Linked DNA regions of Macaca fascicularis. The protein of the gene in region 1 binds, or shares a complex with, the protein of each later gene. Links are inferred from orthologs where the notes say so. Each region holds a gene or a part of one and is shown on either strand. Other genes may lie near its edges. The genes, in order: SLC3A2, SLC7A10, SLC7A8 and SLC7A11.

Region 1 (5,233 bases):
TTTTTTTTTTGAGAGGGAGTCTTGCCTTGTCACCCAGGCTGGAGTGCAGTGGTGCAATCTCAGTTCACTGCAAGCTCCGCCTCCCGGGTTCCCTCCATTCTCCTGCCTCAGCCTCCCAAGTAGCTGGGACTACAGGTGCGCGCCATCACATCCAGCTAATTTTTTTGTATTTTAGTAGAGACGGGGTTTCACCATGTTAGCCAGGATGGTCTCCATCTCCTGACCTCGTGATCCGCCCGTCTGGGCCTCCCAAAGTGCTGAGATTACAGTGCTGGGATTACAGGCGTGAGCCACCGTGCCTGGCCGACAATACTGCTCTTTACTGCACTGAGATGTTTGTGTAAAGTCAAACATAAATCTGGCCTACATGCACATCGAGGCACAGCACCTTTCCTTAAACTTATTTATGACAGAGTCCTTTGCTCACATGTTTTCCTGCTGACCCTCTCCCCACCATTACCCTATAGTCCTGCCACATCCCCCTCACCGAGATGGTAGAGATAGTGATCAATAAATGCTGAGGGAACTCAGAGACCGGTGCCGGTACGGGTCCTCCTTATGCTGAGTGTCGGTCCCCTGGGCCCACTTTTCTTCCTCTATACTTTGTCTCTCTGTCTTATTTTCTCAGTCTCTCGTCCCACCTGATGAGAAATACCCACAGGTGTGGAGGGGCTGGCCCCCTTCAGGATTACAGGCGTGAGCCGCTCTACCTAGCCTACTTTTTTTTAAATGCCCTATTTTCTAGTAGATTCTATGTCACTGCACAAGAGGTTGCAAACTCACAATGAGGGCCACCTTTGGCCCACAGGCATATTTCAGTTTTTTGTTTGTTTGTTTTTGAGACTCGCTCTTGTCCCCCAGGCTGGAGTGCAGTGGGGTGATCTTGGCTCACTGCAACTTCCACCTCCCGGGTTCAACCGCTTCTCCTGCCTCACCCTCCTAAGTAGCTGGGATTACAATCGCCCGCCACCGCACCCACACCACGCCCGGCTTATTTTTGTATTTTTAGTAGAGAAGGGGTTTCACCATGTTGGCCATGCTGGTCTCTAACTCCTGACCTCAGGTGGTCCGCCCACTTCGGCCTCCCAAAGTGCTAGGATTACAGACATGAGCCACCGCGCCCGGCCAAAAAAATTTAAACTCAACATTTTAAAGTGGGTAAATACACAATTCTGGACTTCTGGATTCTTTTGAAAACTATTTGATCACACAGAGACAATACTGTCACAAGGCAACAAGCAGCTGGAGCTGTGAAAGGGCTGCCCAGTTCACCAGAGTCCCAACTCAGTTCATTTCACTTACCTACATTACTTAGCTGATTTCTGTATGTGAGTTGGAGACCCCTAACCCAAATCCCCTCTTTTCCACTTCCACTGCCGTTACACTTGCTAGTATTGAATCCTCTTGCCTAAACTACTATGGCAATCTAACTAATGACCTTGTCTCCATCTTATCCCCCAATGTCTTATCACTTTCCTACTTAAAAACTCTCCCTGGTTTTTTTTTTCTATCTATGATTCAAGTGATTTAGCTTTGCTCTCAAGGTCCTGCTTATGTGGCTTTCCCCAGGAAATACATTCCAGTTTTATATTCTAATACTCCCCTTTTGCCCATCTTTCATGAATTGTAGCCACACACTTCCTTCTTTTTCTTGCACCAAGCTTGTGCTCCAGTTGTTTCTTTAACTGGAATTCCCCTCCGGAGTCTTTCAACCCTTTCAGGCCCAGACACTCTATAAAGCATTTCCCAACTGCCATTCCCACTCACAACCTCCCCAGCCTTGTCTGTCTACTCTGGGCCATCTTGATTTTCCATAGTTTATCTGTCCCCCTTTTTTTTTTTTTTTTTTTTTTGAGACAGGGTCTCACTCAGTCATCCAGGCTGGAGTGCAGTGCAGTGGCTTGATCACAACTCACTTACAGCCTCAAATTCCTGGGCTCAAGCAATCCTCCCACCTCAGCTTCCCAAGTAGCTGAGGCTACAGGCATGCACCACCGCTCCTGGCTAATTTTTTCTATTTTTCTGTAGAGATGGGTATCGGTTTCTCACTATGTTGCTTAGGCTGGTCTTGAACTCTTGGGTTCAAGAGATCCTCCCACCTTGGCCTCCCAAAATGCTGAGCCAGGCCGGGTGTGGTGGCCTACGCCTGTAATCCCAGCACTTTGGGAGGCTGAGGCAGGAGGTCACCAGGTCAGCAGTTCAAGACCAGCCTGGCCAACGTGATGAAACCCCATCTCTCCTAAAAATACAAAAATTAGCGTGGCTTGATGATTGCGGGAGCCTGTAATCCCAGCTACTCAGGAGGCTGAGGAAGGAGAATCGCTTGAACCTGGGAGGCAGAGGTTGCAGTGAACCGACATCCCGCCACTGCACTCTGGGCGACAGAGCAGAACTCTGTCTCGGAAAAAAAAAAAAATGTTTATAAAGTGTGCTTGTACACGTAGATGTTTACCACGAACCACTGAACTAATGCTGTCCGGTCTCAGTAAAACAGTCTATAGCTGACTGCAACCATAGTGATCAGGCAGGAGTTGCAGCAGGCAGCACCGCGGGAGCCCTTTAAGGTTCCCCATCAATAAAGGGGGCTGTCATCCTACCTAGCTCTTGGGATTTTGATGGATTAATCGATTAATACAGTGTGCTTAAAACGGTGCTCCACAAATGTTAGCTAATGCTGGCCCGTAGTAGTCCAAGATCTAAAGAAAACGCACCAGAAGGCAGGACATAGGGGACCAGTTAGAAAAAAATCAGATCCTGTCTTCAGTGGAGCATTTACGCCCTGACTTACTTTCCCGAAATGGCTCCCCCAAAGGGGACCTCCTCCCGAGTTTAGCTCGGGATCCAGTACCTGAGTCATCCCCCGCGCTGAGACCCTGGACACCAGCCTCCGAATGTGAGCCCGGCAGCTGGCGGGGAATCGAAACGACGGCGGTCGAGGCTTCAGGAGGCTGTAGCTCCATGGAGGCGGATCCTGCACACAGGTTTCGGGTGTGTGGGGGCAAGGGGGAGCTCAGAACAGGGTTAGCGGGTAAGCAGTCGTGACCGTCAGTCCAGGATCCGCGTGAGGCAGTGATCTCACCGCTCCTGCCACATGCACTGGGTGAGAAAACTAAGCCGCAATGCGGTCGGTGAGGTTCCGTAGGACGCATGCGCGCCCTTTTCGCGCCGCAGGTTCAGGTAGCGCTTTGTCCACGCCCTCCTTCCCTGGAACTCTCTACCCACAACTCCCCGGGGTCGCATGCGGTCAACGTATGCGCGTGCGCTCGCCATAGCACCGCCCCCAAATCCCGTGGGCCTCTGCGGGATGGTATTTAATCGTCTCTCCGTGCCAATTTCGGTCTCATTGTTCTACTGCCGCTGGTAAGTGATTTTGTAAGGTTTGTAGCTGTCAGTGTTTTGTGCTTTGTCCGTTTCTTTTATTTTGAACGATTGTGCGGACATCGCATAGCACGCGCTATGCCTTCTGTGTTGTAGCTGTCTAGCCAGGGTGACTGGCGGGTGAGGTCTTGTGGGTGGCCTCGAGACTTAATTAAATTAAGTAGCAGCGGGGCTTTGTGAAGGACAAGATGGCGATGGCGGGCCTTGCGGGTCCCCTCCCTATGATGAGGACCTTTTCACAGACCTGTACTGAGCTCCGTGAGGATAAGTGACTCTGAGGAGATGGGCCCTGCAAGCCTCCTACTTAGCCGTCGGCTCAGAAGATAGCGTTTTCGAAATGCCCTGTGTTGACTTAATGTCTTCTTGGACTCTGGTCTGCAGGGTTTACGCGCACGTTGGAATCGAAGAGAGCTCTATGTTACAGTAAGTTCTTATGGCCATTTCTTAACCTCTGCTCTTTCGTTGAGTGTGTTGAAGTTGCTACGGGGATGATTTTACAAACTGAACTCTCTCTTTCTGATGGATTAGTGGAGAAAACAAAAATTCTGAGTAGCACTGTACTGTACGCAATAAATGTCAGGGACTTATTGATTTGTCTGAGGTGTTAGTGAAGGCTGTTATTTTTTCAGATGTTTAGCCCACAAGAGCTCACTGGTGAAGGAATGGGACAAGACCCATCTTTCTGCAAAGCCAGCGTTACAGTAATGTTCCAGGTAGGTGTACATGCTTTTATGCTCTTACAGAGGAGACCTTGCTAGATAACCACTCCGTGATGAACACAAAATGACAAGCATATGGCTGAACTTATAAGTGATGTCATCTTACTACTGAGAAGTGACAGCGAGGTCTTCAGGGGTCTTTGAATGACTATTTTTAGGTACATAAAATGCCTTCCTCTGTTGTCTACAGCATCTCATAATCCTGAGGAATTCAGCTGTCTCCCAGGGTGAATACAGGTAATTATTCAAATTGGTGTATGTCATCTCTGTAAATGTTCACAAGAGAACAAGTGGCCGGCGGAAGCAATTTTGTTTTTTGGCGCCTTCCATCTTGTTCCTCTTGAGATAATTTTCTGGGAAGCGAGATCGCAACCCGGTACTACAGTTCTTGTAAGCGTGCGCTGTTATCCTCATCCATATATCGATCACTTTACTGTCAGATGATTTGAATTGATAAGCTGATGTTCTGTGAGGTACAAAAATTAATAGCATGTTAGAGTTCTGATGGCAGTTGTTGATTTTGAATAAGTTTCATTCCATCCTAATACCTTAAAATAACTAATTTGCTTTGCTTTCCAGGTATTCCTCATGACAATCTGCCTCTATCTTACAGTACGTTGCTTTTTTAATTCTATGGGCCTATTATCTAATTGATAACTTAGCCATCTTGATGTTTGTTACCAAAGCCTGCTTAAACCATAAAGTTTTCTGGTTCCTCTTGTTCTCTGTAGTGATGTTTCCAGACCTCCCCTTTTTTCTCTCAGATAGATGCCCACTGATCTGCCCAGGGTCAGACTAATGCTTGTCAGTTGTAGGTTTGCACGGTTCAGCTCCAATATGGAGGAAACATCCTGCCTCAGCCCTGTTCTAGCCTGGGAACCAGTAATTGTGAACCCACCAGGATTAACTGAAAAAGGGCATGAGAGGCCTGTCTGAGGCATTTGGTTACCTTTTCTTAGCTTGTCCACTAGCAACCGTAACTAAAATAGTTTTGGCTGTTTGGGATAATTAGCTAATTGATTGATTTTTTTGATTCAGGAGCAGCTTGTTGCCATATACCATTGAAAAACCTTCAGAGCTGAGAGGTTAGTTGATTTTTTTTTTTTTTTTTTTTGCTCCTTACCGCTTGTGCCACC
Region 2 (5,238 bases), on another chromosome or scaffold:
TAATCCCAGCACTTTGGGAGGCCGAGGCAGGCAGATCACTTGAGGTTAGGAGTTCAAGACCAGCCTGGCCAACATGGTAAAACTCTGTCTCTACTGAAAATACAACAAATTAGCTGGATACAGTGGTGCGTGCCTGTAATCCCAGCTACTCAGGAGGCTGATGCAGGAGAATTACTTGAACCCTGGAGGCGGAGGTTGCAATGAGCTAAGATTGCGGCACTGCACTCCAGCCTGGGGGACACAGCCAGACTCTGTCTCAGAAAAAAAAAAGAGAAAGAAAGAAGAGAGAAAGAGAGAGAGAGAGAGAGGGAGGGAGGGAAAAAGAGAGAGAGAAAGAAAGAAAGAGAAAGAGAGAAAGAAGGAAAGAAAGAAAGATGAAGCAGGATGTCAAGTTTTTAAGACTTTTAGAGCTAAAATATGACACTTTGCAGACATTTTTGATTCTGACCAGGCTCCCCAGTGTATTGGTGGAGAGAGAGTGAGCCCACCTGGGGCAGAAAGGTAGGGTGGGCTGGGGAGGGGAGACCCTTAGGACTTAAGGTGGGGAAGGCAGTGCAGACCCCAGCTCAGTCCTCATCTGCCCAGTCCCCACCTCCTATCACCTTCTGGTTGAGGTCGATCTCTCCTTGTTTTTTCCTGCCCCGTCCAGCTTCCTGCCTGCTGTAACCCTCCAAGGCTCCCCAGGCCAGGCCAAGACCAAGGCTCCCCAAGACCACCACTGAGTGCCCTGGGCTTGGGTTCTGTAGCTGAATTGGTTGGCCAAGTGGCCCTTCACCCTGGCTCAGTCTTCAAGGTTTGGAGGCCAAGGTGGTGGACTTGGCACAGCAGGAAGGAACTGAAGGGTGGGGGAGCTGTCAGGGCAGACCTGGGCTGCATGGGAAACTTAGAGTCTGTCCTAGAAAAGGAGGGGGTGATGGTGGAGTTGACCTTCTCCACTCCCACCACCACCACCTCCACCACCACCACCACCACCACCTCCACCACCACCACCACCACCACCACTGTCACCGCCGCCACCACCACCACCACCACCACTGGGGCCCCCTTCTGGGAAGAGAGGAGCCAGGCAGCCTCCCTGTGGCCTGGGGAGGATGGGATGTGGGGAGGGGATAGAGTAGGAAGACAGGTCAAGGATGCTGGGCTTAGCTGAGGAGCCCAGGCAGAGCTGTGTCTCTCTGCACCTGCCTGGCGCTGTAGCTGGCTCTAGGCCTGGTCTCAATCCTATGACCCACTCATGGTGTGAGCTTCCCCTTCCCTGGAGGACAGTTCCTGGAGGGGGTGTGGGCCAAGAAAAAGCTCTAACCAGCACCCTGGCCAAATCCCTAGAACCAGCCCTTCCTTCCAGCAGACCGTCTGTCAGGCAGGGGCATCCTAGGCCAAGAAGCTCCCAGGGCCAGGTCCGGACCAGGTTCTAGGAGGCAGCATTCTTTTTTTTTTTTTTTTTTTTGAGACGGAGTCTCGCTCTGTCGCCCAGGCTGGAGTGCAGTGGCCAGATCTCAGCTCACTGCAAGCTCCGCCTCCCGGGTTCCCGCCATTCTCCTGCCTCAGCCTCCCGAGTAGCTGGGACCACAGGCGCCGCCACCTCGCCCGGCTAATTTTTTGTGTTTTTAGTAGAGACGGGGTTTCGCCGTGTTAGCCAGGATGGTCTCGATCTCCTGACCTTGTGATCCGCCCGTCTCGGCCTCCCAAAGTGCTGGGATTACAGGCTTGAGCCACCGTGCCCGGCCCAGGAGGCAGCATTCTAAGGGGAGGCGGTGAGATGGTGGAGTGACCTGGCCAGGGGCTGTGTTCAGGGGCGACTCTGGATGGGAAGAGCTGCTAATGTGGGGGTGGGAGAGGACGAGGTGAAGATGCTGGGTCTGCCCTACTAAGCCTCCAAACTTTCTCCATCTCCAGGGGTCTGAGGGTAGGAGGACAGTGAAGACACAAGCGGCTCACACTGGCAGGGGACCAGGAAGACTGGCTGGCAGTAAGGTGAGAACAGTCGAGGCCCCAGTTACTCATCCCCCCAAACCATCTCTCCTGTCCCTCCCTGGAGGGGCTCAGAGGCACCCTGTGTAGACAAAGAAATAAGTCTGGATTAGTCAGTATCCATGACTTGGGACAGAGTGGAAAAATACCACTGCCATTCCCATGACCCCTGAGCTCTCTGCCTACCCAGAAACCCCTATGTGGGGGCAGGAGGACATGGACCCATTCTCAGGTGGGGACTTTGGACCCATTCTCAGAGGGAGACTTTGGAGTCCAGGGCCTCCAGACCAGGCGAGTGCCCAGTGCCCACCAGGATCCCAGCCCAGGGAGCAGCCGGCCTTCTGCAGGCTGGGTCTGCCCACTGCTGCCCCCTTCCCCCAATTGCTGGCTAACCCGCTCCCTCTCCTGGGCCCTGCTGCCAAACCCTGCAGTCATTGCCTGCTCTGAACATCCGTCCCCTCTGCGCCGGCTGCGAGCTTGTTCACTCTACTCACAGGCCCTCCTGCTTTCCAAGAATAAGTCACTGCACTGCGTGGCACCTGGACCCTGCCCACAGTAGGTACTCAGACTGACGACCCACAGTCCAGAACTTGGGGAGCTCAGCCTGCCGCAGCCTGACCAGCCCCTACACTGGTCAAGTTCCTGCGCTAATTGCAGGACTGCGGTCATGGCCATTTCACAGATGAGGAAACTGAGGGTAACTGCCTTGCAAAAGCCCCGCAGCAAAATCGAGTCAGGAGGAAGAGTCCAGCGGTGGACGGACCCAAAACTCCCCCAGGTATAGGCGGCAGGGAGGTGGGAACACGGAGCTTTGGCACCCTGGGCCAGCAGCCCCTGCCCTCCCAGCAGTCGTAGCGCTCTCTGAGGCCAGAGCAGGTTCCCCAGGCAGACCCGTCCGAGCTCCCGGAGAGGCGGCGCCCCTCGTTCGGCCTCCGCCCGCCCGGCGCCCGCCCACCTGGGTCCCGCTCACCGATGATGATGGTGCAGGCGCTCAGCAGCCCGATCTCCTTCTTGAGCGCCACTCGTTCCGAGGCGCCGGGGACGGGGCCTGGGACCGGGGAGGGCGAGGGCGCAGGGCTGGGGTTCCCGTGCTCGCTCGGCTGCTGCGTGTGGCCGGCCATGTCGCTGTCCCGCCGCGTTCCCGCTCCCTGCGCTGCCCCGTCTGTCCGGCCGGCCGCCCGTCCGTTTGTCGGTCGGTGAGCTCACGGCCCTCGCAGTCGGGACAGCGCCCACAGGCGGGCGCATGCGCTGGCGCGGGGCCCGGGACTGGGGCCCCCGGGTGGCGGGGGCCCGGGAGGGGCGGAAGGAGGGCCGGCCCGCAGCCCCCTCCCCCGCCTCCCTTAAAGGGAACGCCCCCTCCCCCAGTCCCGGCCTGGGAAGGAAGGAGAGGACTTGGGGCAGATCTAGGAAGGACTTCCCAGTTGGGCGAAGGAAGGGACCCTCCAGTTGCCTGAGTTACATCCATTCTTGGGGCGGGGTAGGGGAGCAGAGCTCCGAGACAAGACAATCCCTGCGCTCAGGGAGGCCGAGGGGGACGGCAAGAATAGGAGCTGGCCGCATGTGGGCATCCAGTGCGTGCTCCCTTTCGTACTCCATGCCTGCATGGGGTGTGTGTGTGTGTGTCTGTGTGTGTGTGTGTGTAGGAGACAGCTCCCAGGGTGAGTCCATTCTACAGGCGGAAGTTGAGGCCCAAAGATTAGTAGCGATCGCCAAGCAAGTGCAGGGCTGAGGCCAAACCCTTCCTCGTGCCCCCTTGGCTCCCAGGCGGACAACCTCAGGAGGGGTGGGGGTTGAGGTCTGGAACTCCTCTGAGGGGTCTGGGTGTCCTATGCACCCTGGATCAAAGGCCTGAGGGTCGAGGTGAAGATCTCGGGGGCCCTCATTCTCATCACAGGGACTCAAGGCCCGTGAGGAGTCCTGGACACTGCTCTCCCACCCCACCAGGCTCTGGGCCACCTCTGGCCCGAGGTCCCCACTACTGGATCCTCGTCCCAGGTCAGAGTGAGGGCTCAGCGGACTAGAACTCGTGTCTCTGGTGCCGGTCCCCCGCGATCCAGCCCGGCTCAAGGAGGCCAGGCGACCTGAATGCCTGGGGGGACATGGAGAAGGAGGCTGTGGTCGCGGGAGAGGGTCGGGCGTGCCGGGATCCGAGGGAGGCTGCCTCCTCCCGGAAGCCGTCCGGACTGTGCAGTTGAGGCCGGCGGAGCAGATCCAGGAGGGCCGCGTCGGGGCCACCGGGGCGGCGGGCGGGGCGAGCCTGGCACGGTGCTGCCGGCGGCGGAACAGCCTTTGTTTCTTCCTGGCGGCCGCCGCGACGCGCCGTCCCCTGCATGTGGATGAGGCCGCGCCGGGCGCCCCGTCCTCCCCCCCAGTGGCGGCCTCTGGGTTTGCTGGGTCCCTGCCAGGGGTCCGACGGCCGCAGGGTGGACCCGGGTGGGAAGGGGCGGGGGCGGGGGCGGGTCCCGGGCAGGGGCGGAGCGTGGAGGTGGGAGCGGGGCGGGGCCGGGGTTTGCAGGCGTACAGGAGCTTCGAAGTTGGGGGCGGGGACTTGGGGTAGGAGTAGGAGCGGGAGGATCCAAGGTGGACGTGCTGGGTGGACGCGGAGGGGGAGGCCACCCGGCGAAGCTGCATCCCTCTCGCTTCTGTCGTCGGAGTCCGGCATTCTTGGCGCCCTCCACCTCCAGCCCCAGAGACCATTCAGAGGCCGAATCTCTTAAAGGAGCCTCGCGCAGGTTGGGAGCAGCCCTGGCTCCGGAGACCCCTGATTGTCGCGGGTGTTAGGGGCCAGGGGCCTCGACCTTCTGGTTTGACTATCCCCAGCCCCTCAGTTGCCCTTGCAACTCTAGGGTCTGCTGGGAGAGGGTCTAGCCAGGGCTGGTGCAGTCAGGGGCAGCTTGCCAAGGGGCAGGGGCTGGCCCAAGCCTCGCAGCTCTGAAGCCTGTGGTTTTGGAGGGTGTCTCTCTGGGACCTGGAATGTGGAGTATGGGTTTGTGGGGGAAAGATCGGCCTACAGCTTTGCACAGGATGGAGTTTGTATGTTGTCGGCCAGGCCCCATAGCTCAGGAGGTCCTTTTCGTGGAATTGAACTAGAACCTGCAAACTTCAATGGGAACAAAAGGTTAGTAGGATTGGTTTACCATCCAAAAACCAGTCAGCGTGATTCTCCGTAATAATAGAGAGAAAAAAGGAAAACCTCAACAGATGCAAAAAGCAGTCATCCGTGATTTAAACAAACAAAAGAACTCTTAGCAAATAGAAATGGAAGAG
Region 3 (4,700 bases), on another chromosome or scaffold:
CAAGGAGACCGCCTCTTGGGTCCCAGCTGCCCGCCCTGTAAGAGGCTACTGAGGTAGGTGAGTGATCTCTTCCTCCCCCATCCCATAGCAGGACAGAAGGAAAAGTGTCAGGACCTGGGAAGGCGTATGGCCAGGAGAATCACTACCCTCAGCTAAGTGTGTGTGTGTTAGAAGGTATGGGAAGTCAGGGACCGAGTGAACTCTAGAGGTGGAGCCCCTGAAACATATCTAAGTATTTACTTTAGAAATTAGTTTTTGATTAAAGATGTAAGATACCCCAATCCATTGAGATGACTAATATCAGAGATAAAGTTTTGAGACTTCCTAGAAATACGGCTCTGCAGAACTTCTAGAAAGCCTCGCTAACCTATTCCAGCCCACAGAGATCTTTTCCCCTTCTCTGAATTTTACTGTTCCTGTTGTTTTTAATTTTTTTTCTTTTCTTTTTTTTTCTTTCTTTCTTTTTTTTTTTTTTTAGAGACAGGATCTCACTATGTTGCCCAGGCTGGAGTGCAGTGGCTATTATTCATAGGTGTGATCAAGCTCACTATAACCCAGAACTCCCAGGGTCAAGCAACCCTCCTACCTCAGCCTCCCAGGTAGCTGGAACTATGGTGTGCACCGCCATGCCTAGCTCCCTTCTCTGAATTTTTACTGCAATTGAATCCTAACCACAGTATCCATCTATATGGCTTTTCTCCTAGTTAGAAAACTCATGAAGGGCAGGGACCATGGACAAACTCTTCTCCAAGAGATTTAAAAAAGTGTGACTTGACAAGTTGAGGTAGAAGTAGATGTAGAACTACTGCCATGAAGCCAGAGTAATCTTCCTAGGAGCAGCTGGGAGTAGCCAGCACAGTGCAGTGTACTGGACAGACAAGAAATCAGGAGCCCTTGCACTCCATGCGGCCTGCCTCCCTGGGCAAGTCACTTGCCTGGCTCTCTGTTTCCTTATCTGTTCTGGGAAAATGTTAATACTGGCCCAGCTTACCTCATGGACTTGTCATTAGGCCCAAATCAGATAATATAGGTGAAAGTGCTTTGACCCGGCCAGTGAAAATTACAGTGCCTCCAAGGAGCTACTTAAGTTTCTTTCTTTCTTTCTTTCTTTCTTTCTTTCTTTCTTTCTTTCTTTCTTTCTTTCTTTCTTTCTTTCTTTCTTTCTTTCTTTCATTCTTTCTTCTTTCTCTCTCTCTCTTTCTTTCTGTCTGTCTGTCTTTTTTTTTTTTTCACCAGACAATTGTATGCAGAATCCATTCATACAAAACACACTTGTAGGAAACTGAAAGAAAAGTAATGGGGAAAAGAAAAGGAGGCAGGGTGAGGTGGCTCAGGCCTGTAATCCCAGCACTTTGGGAGGCCAAGGTGGGCGGATCACTTGAGGCCAGGAGTTCAAAACCAGCCTGGCCAACATGGTGAAATCCCATCTCTACAAAAAATACAAAAATTAGCCGGGCATGGTGGCTCACGCCTGTAATCCCAGCAACTTGGGAGTCTGAGGTGGGAGAATTGCTTGAACCTGGGAGACGGAGGTTGCAGTGAATGGAGATCACGCCACTGCACTCCAGCCTGGGAGACAGAGTGAGACCCTGCCTCCAAAAAAAAAGGAGAGAAGGAAGGAGAGTCAGAGACATATAGACCACCAGGGAGGCTAAAAGAGGCATCCCTCAGACCGTGCACAGTGGCTCACACCTGTAACCACAACACTTTGGGAGGCCGAGGCAGGAGGATCACTTGAGCCCAGGAATTCAAGGCTGCAGTGAGCTGTGATCGTGTGATTGCACTCCAGGCTGAGTGACAGAGGACTCTGTTCTAAAAATAATAATAATAAATATAATAAAAGAGGCTGTCTTGCTACGAAGACCCAGATGACACTTACATAAGCAGATGGCAGCCAGGAGCCGAAGGCCAGACTCTGGGGGGAAGCAGGTGGGGAAGAGCGGCTGCAGCACGTAGTTGGAGAAGGTGAGGGCAATGACAGCCTGGTTGGTGGGGTAGATCACCAGCACAGCAATCCACAGCCTCAGGAACCTGAAGGAGGAATGGGACATCCCCGCCAACAGGCATGGCAGGGATGCAGAGCCATCAGGGGAGAGCCCGGGCAAGTCATGCATCTCTTTTTTATTTTCAGAGATGCTGAAGAGCCCAGCCTCTGCCCCCACCCACAAATGAGACACCCAGCCCTCTGCAATGACAATAAAATGGTTTAATGATGAAGAGCTAAATTTCCACAAGCACTAACACAAGTCTTGGCATTCTTTCCTTCTCTCCTTTCATCATCTCTTCTCCATCACTGTGGCCACCAGCATCCAATGGTGGAAAAACAAAATTTGCAACCGCTGAATGTTGATAGACAGGACATACTAAGTGTGTGGTTACAGAAGCAACAAACAGGAGAGGTATCAAGTGGAGGTTTGCAGGGGAAGTGCCTTCCACACCCTTTGGCCCATTGGTGAGGGTTTACCAATGGCAGGGGTGCAGAAATTGAGGAAATTTAAGATTAGGGCCCAACTCTAGAGGGAGGCCATTATCCTTGGTAGTGTGAGAAGAGGTTACACTCTACCTTAGGTGGCCGCTCTCACTTGTCAAGATAGAAGAGCTTTGTTTTTGTGATGTGCTTTCTCTGGGAATCTATGGTCAGTGTTGTTACACAGTTCTGTTTGCTCTCACTCATAGCATCCTTCCCACCAAGATCAACATAGAGGTCAAAACTACAAAACTGGTCCCTCCATCATTCTCAGAAGCCTCGAGGGGACACAAGGCTACACTAGCAACCATGGCAGGAAAGCAAAAGAGACATTCCATTCTCTAGCACCCCCTGGCACACTGGAGACTGGAAACTCCTAGCGTTGGCTTTTCCCGATCTGACCTCCTTCTGAATGTCTTCCTCCTTTTCCCCTAGACCATTAGGGTCTCCACAGATCCTCTTACCCAGCCAGTCCTCCGAAGATGTCCTTGACATAGGAGTAGTCACCTCCAGATTTGGGGATGGTGACCCCGAGTTCAGCATAGCAGAGGGCTCCCACAACTGTGATGAAGCCTGTCACGATCCAGACGATGAGCGCAAGGCCCACAGAACCGGCATTCTCCAGCACGCCCTTTGGCGAGACAAAGATTCCAGAGCCGATGATGTTCCCTGCATGGGACACCAAGGGTAAGAAGGGGAGACAGTAGAGACAGGATGGTTGGCAGGATTGGCGTTTGGAGGGTGGTCTCATCTCCGATCTGATTCTGAAATGCCCTGGAGATACGTAAATTATCTGCAGGCAGGTGTGTCTAGCAATAATTCTCCCTGAAGTAGGGTAAAGAGGAGCAGAGAACTGACACATATTGACTAGGAACTTGGTCAGGTACTTTCCACATCTCATTTAATCCTCAGGACGACACTATGGAATCAGATATCATTTCTCATATTTTACAGAGGAGGAAACTGAGTCTCAGAGATACCAAGTGAGTTGCCTAGGTCCACATTGCAGTAAGTGATGGTGAAGTATCGAATCTCAGGACCCTCCAGCTGAGAGACATGTGGTCCACCCAAAGTGACAAGGGCCTCAAGGCTCTGAAAATGGCAGGGCTGGAAAAGTGGACTGTTTTCAGAGAACACCTGCCCACTGGAAGGCTTCAAAAATGAGCCAAAAGACAATCTTTTTTGAACAGATTGTGGTCACACCCCAAGATTGGGGGTTTTCAAGACTTATGAGTGTGGAAAACATTCCTGGAGGCTGGCTTCTACCCTAGACATGACGGCCCCACCCTTGGTGAAGAACATAAAATAACTATAAAAACAGTGCTAGTAGTTTAGAAGTGGTGTGTAGGAATGCAATACATACAAAGCCTCAGTACTATATTCTTTCAAAAGTCGTTACCCACCAATGTTTCATGTGACCCTCAAAACAACCTTATGGAATTCAGGGAGAGGAGAGAGGCAGGTACTTCCCTCTCTGTTTTACAAACGAAGAGATTAAGACATAGAGGGGTTAAGTGGCTTTCTCCAAATTCCACAGCTACTGATGGGTAAAATTGGATCTAGAAGTCAGTCTCCTGATACTTAATCCAGCGCTCTTTCCACTAATCCACTTCTGCTTGTGTGCAGGGGCTGGCTTTCTCCTGAGAGGTGAGGCCCACAGCCAGTATTGAATGGCTGGCTGCTGGGTTGTGTGTGTTATGCAGAGGAGGAACAGGAGTGTGGAGGCTGTTCCTGACATGCTTCTTCCCAACTGTTCCCATGTCCACTTCTTGTGATAAAATAGATCATCAAGGTCCATTGGGTGGGTGCTTTGAAAGTGCTGCTTCATGCTCTGCCCAGCTGCACCACTAAATGCCTAAGGAAAGGAGCAGAGACCAAATGGATCCAGGTGGAAAGGCAGAGCTAGAGTACCCTGAGGTCAGCTGGATTTGACTGTGTTCTAAGGACATCTCAAGCCTCCACGATCTCTCTGTAGTGGTCTGGAACCAGTGAGATGGAGATTGTAAATCCTATGCTCAGCTTTCAAAAACTGACGCTCAGATCTCAACCATAACACAACCTCAATCTAGCCCTGAGACTGAAATATAGAATCAGGGGGCACAGGCTGAAGTTAGATACAGATGAAAAGGAAGCACATATTTGTCTCAAATATGTCTTCCTAATTTTGGTGCTAACAGTCTTTCGCAACAGAAAGGGGCTGCTTATAGAAATGAAACTAAGAAAAATAATTCCT
Region 4 (4,700 bases), on another chromosome or scaffold:
TTGACACTTCTAGGAGAAAGATGCTTACCTGAAAGCATATGAACATGAAAATTCACCTGGATACCTTTTGACCAACTAGACAAATTAAATATTATACTAGGAATTGGAATTTTCTCTTATTGTAGATTATATCACTAAGGCATTTAACTTTACTTAGTCATTGTGATGAAGACCCTTCTGTGCCTGACAACTTAATTGGTCACCAAGGCTTATACTTTATAGAAAACAGAGTTTGCATGACAGAGTCAAATGACTCATTTCCTTATGTTAAACAAATCAGGAACTACAGCTCCAAACGCCTTTTTTGATTTTATTGTTGTAACAATGTGTTTACATTCCTGCTTGTCTCAGTTTAAAATCAAACTGAATAGTGCCAAGTCACTCTGAATAGCAAATTTCCTTCAACTTTGTGGGAAGCTTATGATGTCATGTGAGCATTTCAGAGTATCACAGTTTCTTAAGGCTAATTACTTCTATAAAATGTGATGTGGACATTCTGATTACAGAATTTAATGGATATTACTAGGGAAACTTGCTCTTATCAAACTTACCAAACATACATGATTGAGAGCTCATGTGAGCTTTTATGGCTAAGTGCTAATAAGTGCTAGTTAGTACTGACTTAACACTAATCATGAGTTTTACAGTGTTAGAAGTCTTTTTTTTTAACAGAAAAAATATCTTCAAAGTAGTATATACTTCATGAAGTCTTTTTCATTTTAAACAACTCTGCATTATTTAAAATTGTTATAATGATATAATAATAAGTATTTTTTCCCTTTTCTAAAATTCCTGTATCAGGAATGTACTTTCTGTTCCTTTTTGGTTATCTGAATCTTATCTGCTCTTCAAAGGTCATCTTAAATCCTATCTTTCTCATAATTAATTTCCAGTTTATTCTAATTTGTTATTTCTTTCATCTCTAAATTCTTCTGAAAATGCTATCTCTGCTTCACATTTGACATTGAACATGATACCTTCTATTCTTCCTTAATATTTTAGATGTCTGTATTTTGTTTCCCTTTTAAAACTGCCAACCTTTCAAGCATATAAAGATACGATCTTTTTGTAACCTGTATAGCACTTAGGTCAGTGCCCTTTTTTCGGCATATATTAAATTATTTTTGAATAAGTAATTGAAAGTTTAAAGTTACAATATATTGTGTATAACATACTCAGCATTCAAATACATGTACTCCTTATTTAGACTGCTGACCTGTCAGGCTGGTGGGCTTTGGGGCTTAATACAGTTGGACTTGACTCCATCTTCAGCCATGTATTAGTGTGTAACTTTGGCTCATTGCTTGGCATTATGATGAACACAATCATTCCATATAAATATAGCTTATATCTTATGGTAGCACAGATAAAATATACATCTATTAATTTATTTATTCCACAATCTGCCACTGAATGGTAAATGACAATAGAAAGAGATCTAAAGTGAAATCAGTCATGATTTCTGCTCCCAGGTAGCTGATAATCACTTATTACTTTAATTAAAAAAAAAACAAACTACTTTTCTCTGTGTGTGTGTGTGTGTGTGTGTGTGTGTGTGTGTGTGTGTCTGTGGACAGAGGAAAGTACCTTTGTATTCTAGAAGATTTAAAATATGCTTATGTATCTCTTTGTCATAACATACTGATTTTGCTGAGTTGGCCTTTTAAATATGTAGAATAACAAATATCATGAGGAGGGACAAGATATCTAAGTATTTAAACACTTCTCTTCTTTTGCTAATACCCATAGTTCCTAAGTACTTCACATTAAAATTATACCTTTAGATTAAGTTTGTATTGCCAGAAATAATCTGTAAAACACAGATTTCAAGGAGAGAAATATTACCTATCATTACACAGCAGGGGTCATTAAACCGAATTTGCGTGTTCACTCTATATTTAATATATATTGGGTTTCTACTATATGTTAGACACTGCGCTAAACACTGGAGATAAAATTGTGGTTAAGATAGATACGATTTTGTACCCTTAGAGCTCCGAGTCAAGTGGGAGGAAATCATTATCAGCTGAGAAATCACATAGGTAAATATAAAATTGCTACTGTGATAAGCACTGTGGAAGACAGGCCAAGGACTTCAGTATGAATATACTCCAAGAGATCTGGCCCAGTCAGAGGCTGGAGAAGCTTTCCCTGGCAAAGGAAAATTGAACCAAGATCTGAAGTTTATAGCATAGTCAATGAGTTGCAGAGGCTGCAGGCAGAGAAGATTCATATCCTTCTAGTGGGAGGAAGCTAACTGAAGAAATAAGGAGAGCTTAGACCAGATGGAGCCTTGAATGCAATGTGAAGGAGTTTTGCATTTCCTGAACATATTTTGAAAGCACTAAAATGACATGATCAGATCTTAAATTATACATCAAAAATTGTATAAATGATGGAGAATAGGATAAACAGTTTTGTTTGGGGAAGATGGGAGGGTGTCTAGGAAAAGAAGAAAATCAAAAACCTTATGCTGCTCTCCAGTATCAGCCAGCCAAAGTTGACAACATGTAATGGTGGTTGGTTTTCTGATAATCTATGGATCAGGCATGAATGTTGGGTAACTACGAGAAGAAAGAGAAGCTAAAAAGGAAGTTTGACATAAGAAATTAGATAATTGCCGGGGGGCGCAGTGACTCATGGCTGTAATCCCAGCACTTTGGGAGGCTGAGGCAGGTGGATCACCAGGTCAGGAGTTCAAGACCAGCCTGACCAATATGGTGAGACCCCGTCTGTACTAAAAATACAAAAAATTAGCCAGGCATGGTGGCTTGTGCCTGTAATCCCAGCTACTCAGGAGGCTGAGGCAGGAGAATTGCTTGAACATGGGAGGCGGAGGTTACAGTGAGCTGAGATCGTGCCACTACACTCCAGTCTAGGCAACAGAGTGAGACTCCATTTCAGAAAAAAAAAAAAAAAAGAAATTAGATAATTGCACAGACTTGCATGTTTATGGAAAAAATATGCATTCATATATACATACATCTAAAATGAAAAGGTCTGTGCAATTTTCTCATAAAAATATTTGAAGAATTAAAATAGAAGGATGTATTACCTATATTTCTATATACTTGAATTTATTTCATATTCTTGTCCCATTTATATTTACTTAATTGTATAAGATTATAATAAATATATTATTTTTAAATTTATACTTTATATCTGATTGTTACTATAGGAGTAAGAATAATCACTTGACTTTGAGTTTTTGTCTGTACAGAAAAAATAAGAGTAAAACAACATCAAGTATTTAGGCATGTATTTCCAGAGAATACGTAATACTAATTTTTTAGGTTGAGTATTGTGTTCATTCTTTAGACTATGCCTTGACACATTAGATCTGTATGGCATTAACTAATTCATAATATGGCTGAAGTTTATTTACTGACTTTTTGAGAAAGAAGATGGCTTCCTGTAAGCCTAGCTCTGTCAAGCTCTTATGTAATAAGCCGGATTTTGAAGGAAAAGTCAAATATGGGAGAGCAGGGGAAAAGTTGGTAGTACTTACCCTTGTTCCCAAGAATATGTGAAGTTTAAAAACTAGCCACCAATGTTATAGGAAATATTTCATTTGGAATGTCTATGACAACCTAATCAAGTATGGAATTCTGAAAACTATAGACTTTCATATTTAACATGTTGCATATGCTAAATACACTCAAGGTAGAAAAATCTAATGAAATTAAATTTAATAAAAATGCTATTTTTCCCCCTGTGGTTAATCTAAATATATACATTTTTTTTAGCCCTGCAGCTACAGCTGTGATATCCCTGGCATTTGGACGCTACATTCTGGAACCATTTTTTATTCAATGTGAAATCCCTGAACTTGCGATCAAGCTCATTACAGCTGTGGGCTTAAGTGAGTATTATAGCTATATATGTAAAAAAGGAAAAAAACAACACAAAAATGATTGAATACAAAGTGTCTTTAGACTTTTTGCATTGTAGGGTTGCCTCTCACGTCATGTTCTTCTTGCTTACAGTTCCAAATTTCTGCTGGAAGGATTTGGAGTGACATCCAATATTGTATTCCACGCCAGTTTTGTATTTGGCCAATAGATATGATGGCTAATCTTTTTAAATAGTAAAAATCACCTTACTAGTAAAATATTAAGTCGGTTATACATGAACAAGACTTTTAAAGAGGAAACCCCAATTATTTTAGAGATTATTTAATTGGAAATTAGCTATATATTGAATTATATCTTATGTGTATTCGTGGAGTTACCTTTATGTAGTGGGTGTGTAAGTTGTGTTTATACATTTTGTAGTGTTAGCAGCTGTCACTCCCAGTGTTATAATGTTAGCTGCCTGTTGTTGGTCATGAAAAGAGTTTTCTTTCAAGATTGATTATTAATAGTGTTTTCCAACTAGATTTCTTTATGGTCTCCAAATTGAGAAGTTGTTCATCTTTTATCAATGGGCACAAATATTCATTGATTTAAAAAAGAAACAAAAAGAACATGAACAAAATTACATGAGTGATATGAAGCCATATATGACTCTAATTCCCCAAAAGATGCCAGGTACTAAATCCTTAAATATGGGAAAGGATAACTTAATTCTGGGTGCCATTTGAATCACTGTCTTAATCAATATGATCACATTTAACCGAGTTTTAGCTACTTATAAAGAGAAAGCTACACTAACTGAATTGCATAATCATGGAAGAATTTTTAGTTTGTATGGCTAAGATG

The links.
Region 2: the proteins of SLC3A2 (region 1) and SLC7A10 are in contact, whole or in part, in a cryo-EM structure (PDB 8WNT), measured with the Homo sapiens proteins. The link is inferred for Macaca fascicularis from reciprocal best matches to the Homo sapiens genes SLC3A2 and SLC7A10. Residues at the interface, in NP_002385.3 of Homo sapiens: Phe161, Thr162, Gly163, Leu164, Lys166, Leu169, Leu170, Val172, Ala173, Trp178, Arg182, Leu186, Phe189, Trp190, Trp193, Met196, Leu197, Ala200, Ile203, Ile204, Ala207, Pro208, Arg209, Cys210, Arg211, Glu212, Leu213, Arg534; in NP_062823.1 of Homo sapiens: Leu147, Val150, Phe151, Asn153, Cys154, Pro157, Ala160, Val163, Leu164, Met166, Ala167, Met170, Leu171, Trp174, Ser352, Val359, Glu481, Thr484, His485, Trp486, Gln488, Glu489, Leu490, Phe492, Val493, Val494, Tyr495, Gln497.
Region 3: the proteins of SLC3A2 (region 1) and SLC7A8 are in contact, whole or in part, in a cryo-EM structure (PDB 7CMI), measured with the Homo sapiens proteins. The link is inferred for Macaca fascicularis from reciprocal best matches to the Homo sapiens genes SLC3A2 and SLC7A8. Residues at the interface, in NP_002385.3 of Homo sapiens: Thr162, Gly163, Leu164, Ser165, Lys166, Glu167, Leu170, Ala173, Gly174, Trp178, Arg182, Leu185, Phe189, Trp190, Trp193, Met196, Leu197, Gly199, Ala200, Ile203, Ile204, Ala207, Arg209, Cys210, Arg211, Leu213, Lys532, Arg534, Asp558, Gln559; in NP_036376.2 of Homo sapiens: Leu147, Leu150, Phe151, Pro152, Thr153, Cys154, Phe155, Pro157, Ser159, Gly160, Leu163, Leu164, Ala166, Ile167, Leu170, Leu171, Trp174, Gln294, Ser352, Met356, Val359, Glu481, Thr484, Leu485, Gln488, Lys489, Met490, Cys491, Val492, Val493.
Region 4: the proteins of SLC3A2 (region 1) and SLC7A11 are in contact, whole or in part, in a cryo-EM structure (PDB 7P9V), measured with the Homo sapiens proteins. The link is inferred for Macaca fascicularis from reciprocal best matches to the Homo sapiens genes SLC3A2 and SLC7A11. Residues at the interface, in NP_002385.3 of Homo sapiens: Glu167, Leu170, Ala173, Trp178, Thr181, Arg182, Phe189, Trp190, Trp193, Met196, Leu197, Gly199, Ala200, Ile203, Ile204, Ala207, Arg209, Cys210, Glu212, Leu213, Lys299, Arg534, Gln559; in NP_055146.1 of Homo sapiens: Leu151, Phe154, Phe155, Ile156, Gln157, Cys158, Glu159, Pro161, Leu163, Ala164, Leu167, Ile168, Ala170, Val171, Thr174, Val175, Val178, Gln217, Gln219, Val360, His373, Thr487, Gln489, Ile490, Ile491, Glu493, Val494, Val495.

What each region holds. Positions count from the first base shown.
Region 1 is NC_088388.1:11,193,926-11,199,158, forward strand, and holds the start of SLC3A2 (amino acid transporter heavy chain SLC3A2), read right to left. Parts: upstream 3,099-5,233; 5' UTR 2,961-3,098; coding exon 2,849-2,960; intron 1-2,848. UniProt on the Homo sapiens protein: Acts as a chaperone that facilitates biogenesis and trafficking of functional transporters heterodimers to the plasma membrane.
Region 2 is NC_088393.1:40,503,772-40,509,009, forward strand, and holds the start of SLC7A10 (asc-type amino acid transporter 1), read right to left. Parts: upstream 3,093-5,238; coding exon 2,942-3,092; intron 1-2,941. UniProt on the Homo sapiens protein: Associates with SLC3A2/4F2hc to form a functional heterodimeric complex that translocates small neutral L- and D-amino acids across the plasma membrane. Preferentially mediates exchange transport, but can also operate via facilitated diffusion.
Region 3 is NC_088381.1:90,922,263-90,926,962, forward strand, and holds part of SLC7A8 (large neutral amino acids transporter small subunit 2), read right to left. Parts: intron 3,137-4,700; coding exon 2,932-3,136; intron 2,032-2,931; coding exon 1,880-2,031; intron 1-1,879. UniProt on the Homo sapiens protein: Associates with SLC3A2 to form a functional heterodimeric complex that translocates small and large neutral amino acids with broad specificity and a stoichiometry of 1:1.
Region 4 is NC_088379.1:143,342,878-143,347,577, reverse strand, and holds part of SLC7A11 (cystine/glutamate transporter), read left to right. Parts: intron 1-3,746; coding exon 3,747-3,862; intron 3,863-4,700. UniProt on the Homo sapiens protein: Heterodimer with SLC3A2, that functions as an antiporter by mediating the exchange of extracellular anionic L-cystine and intracellular L-glutamate across the cellular plasma membrane.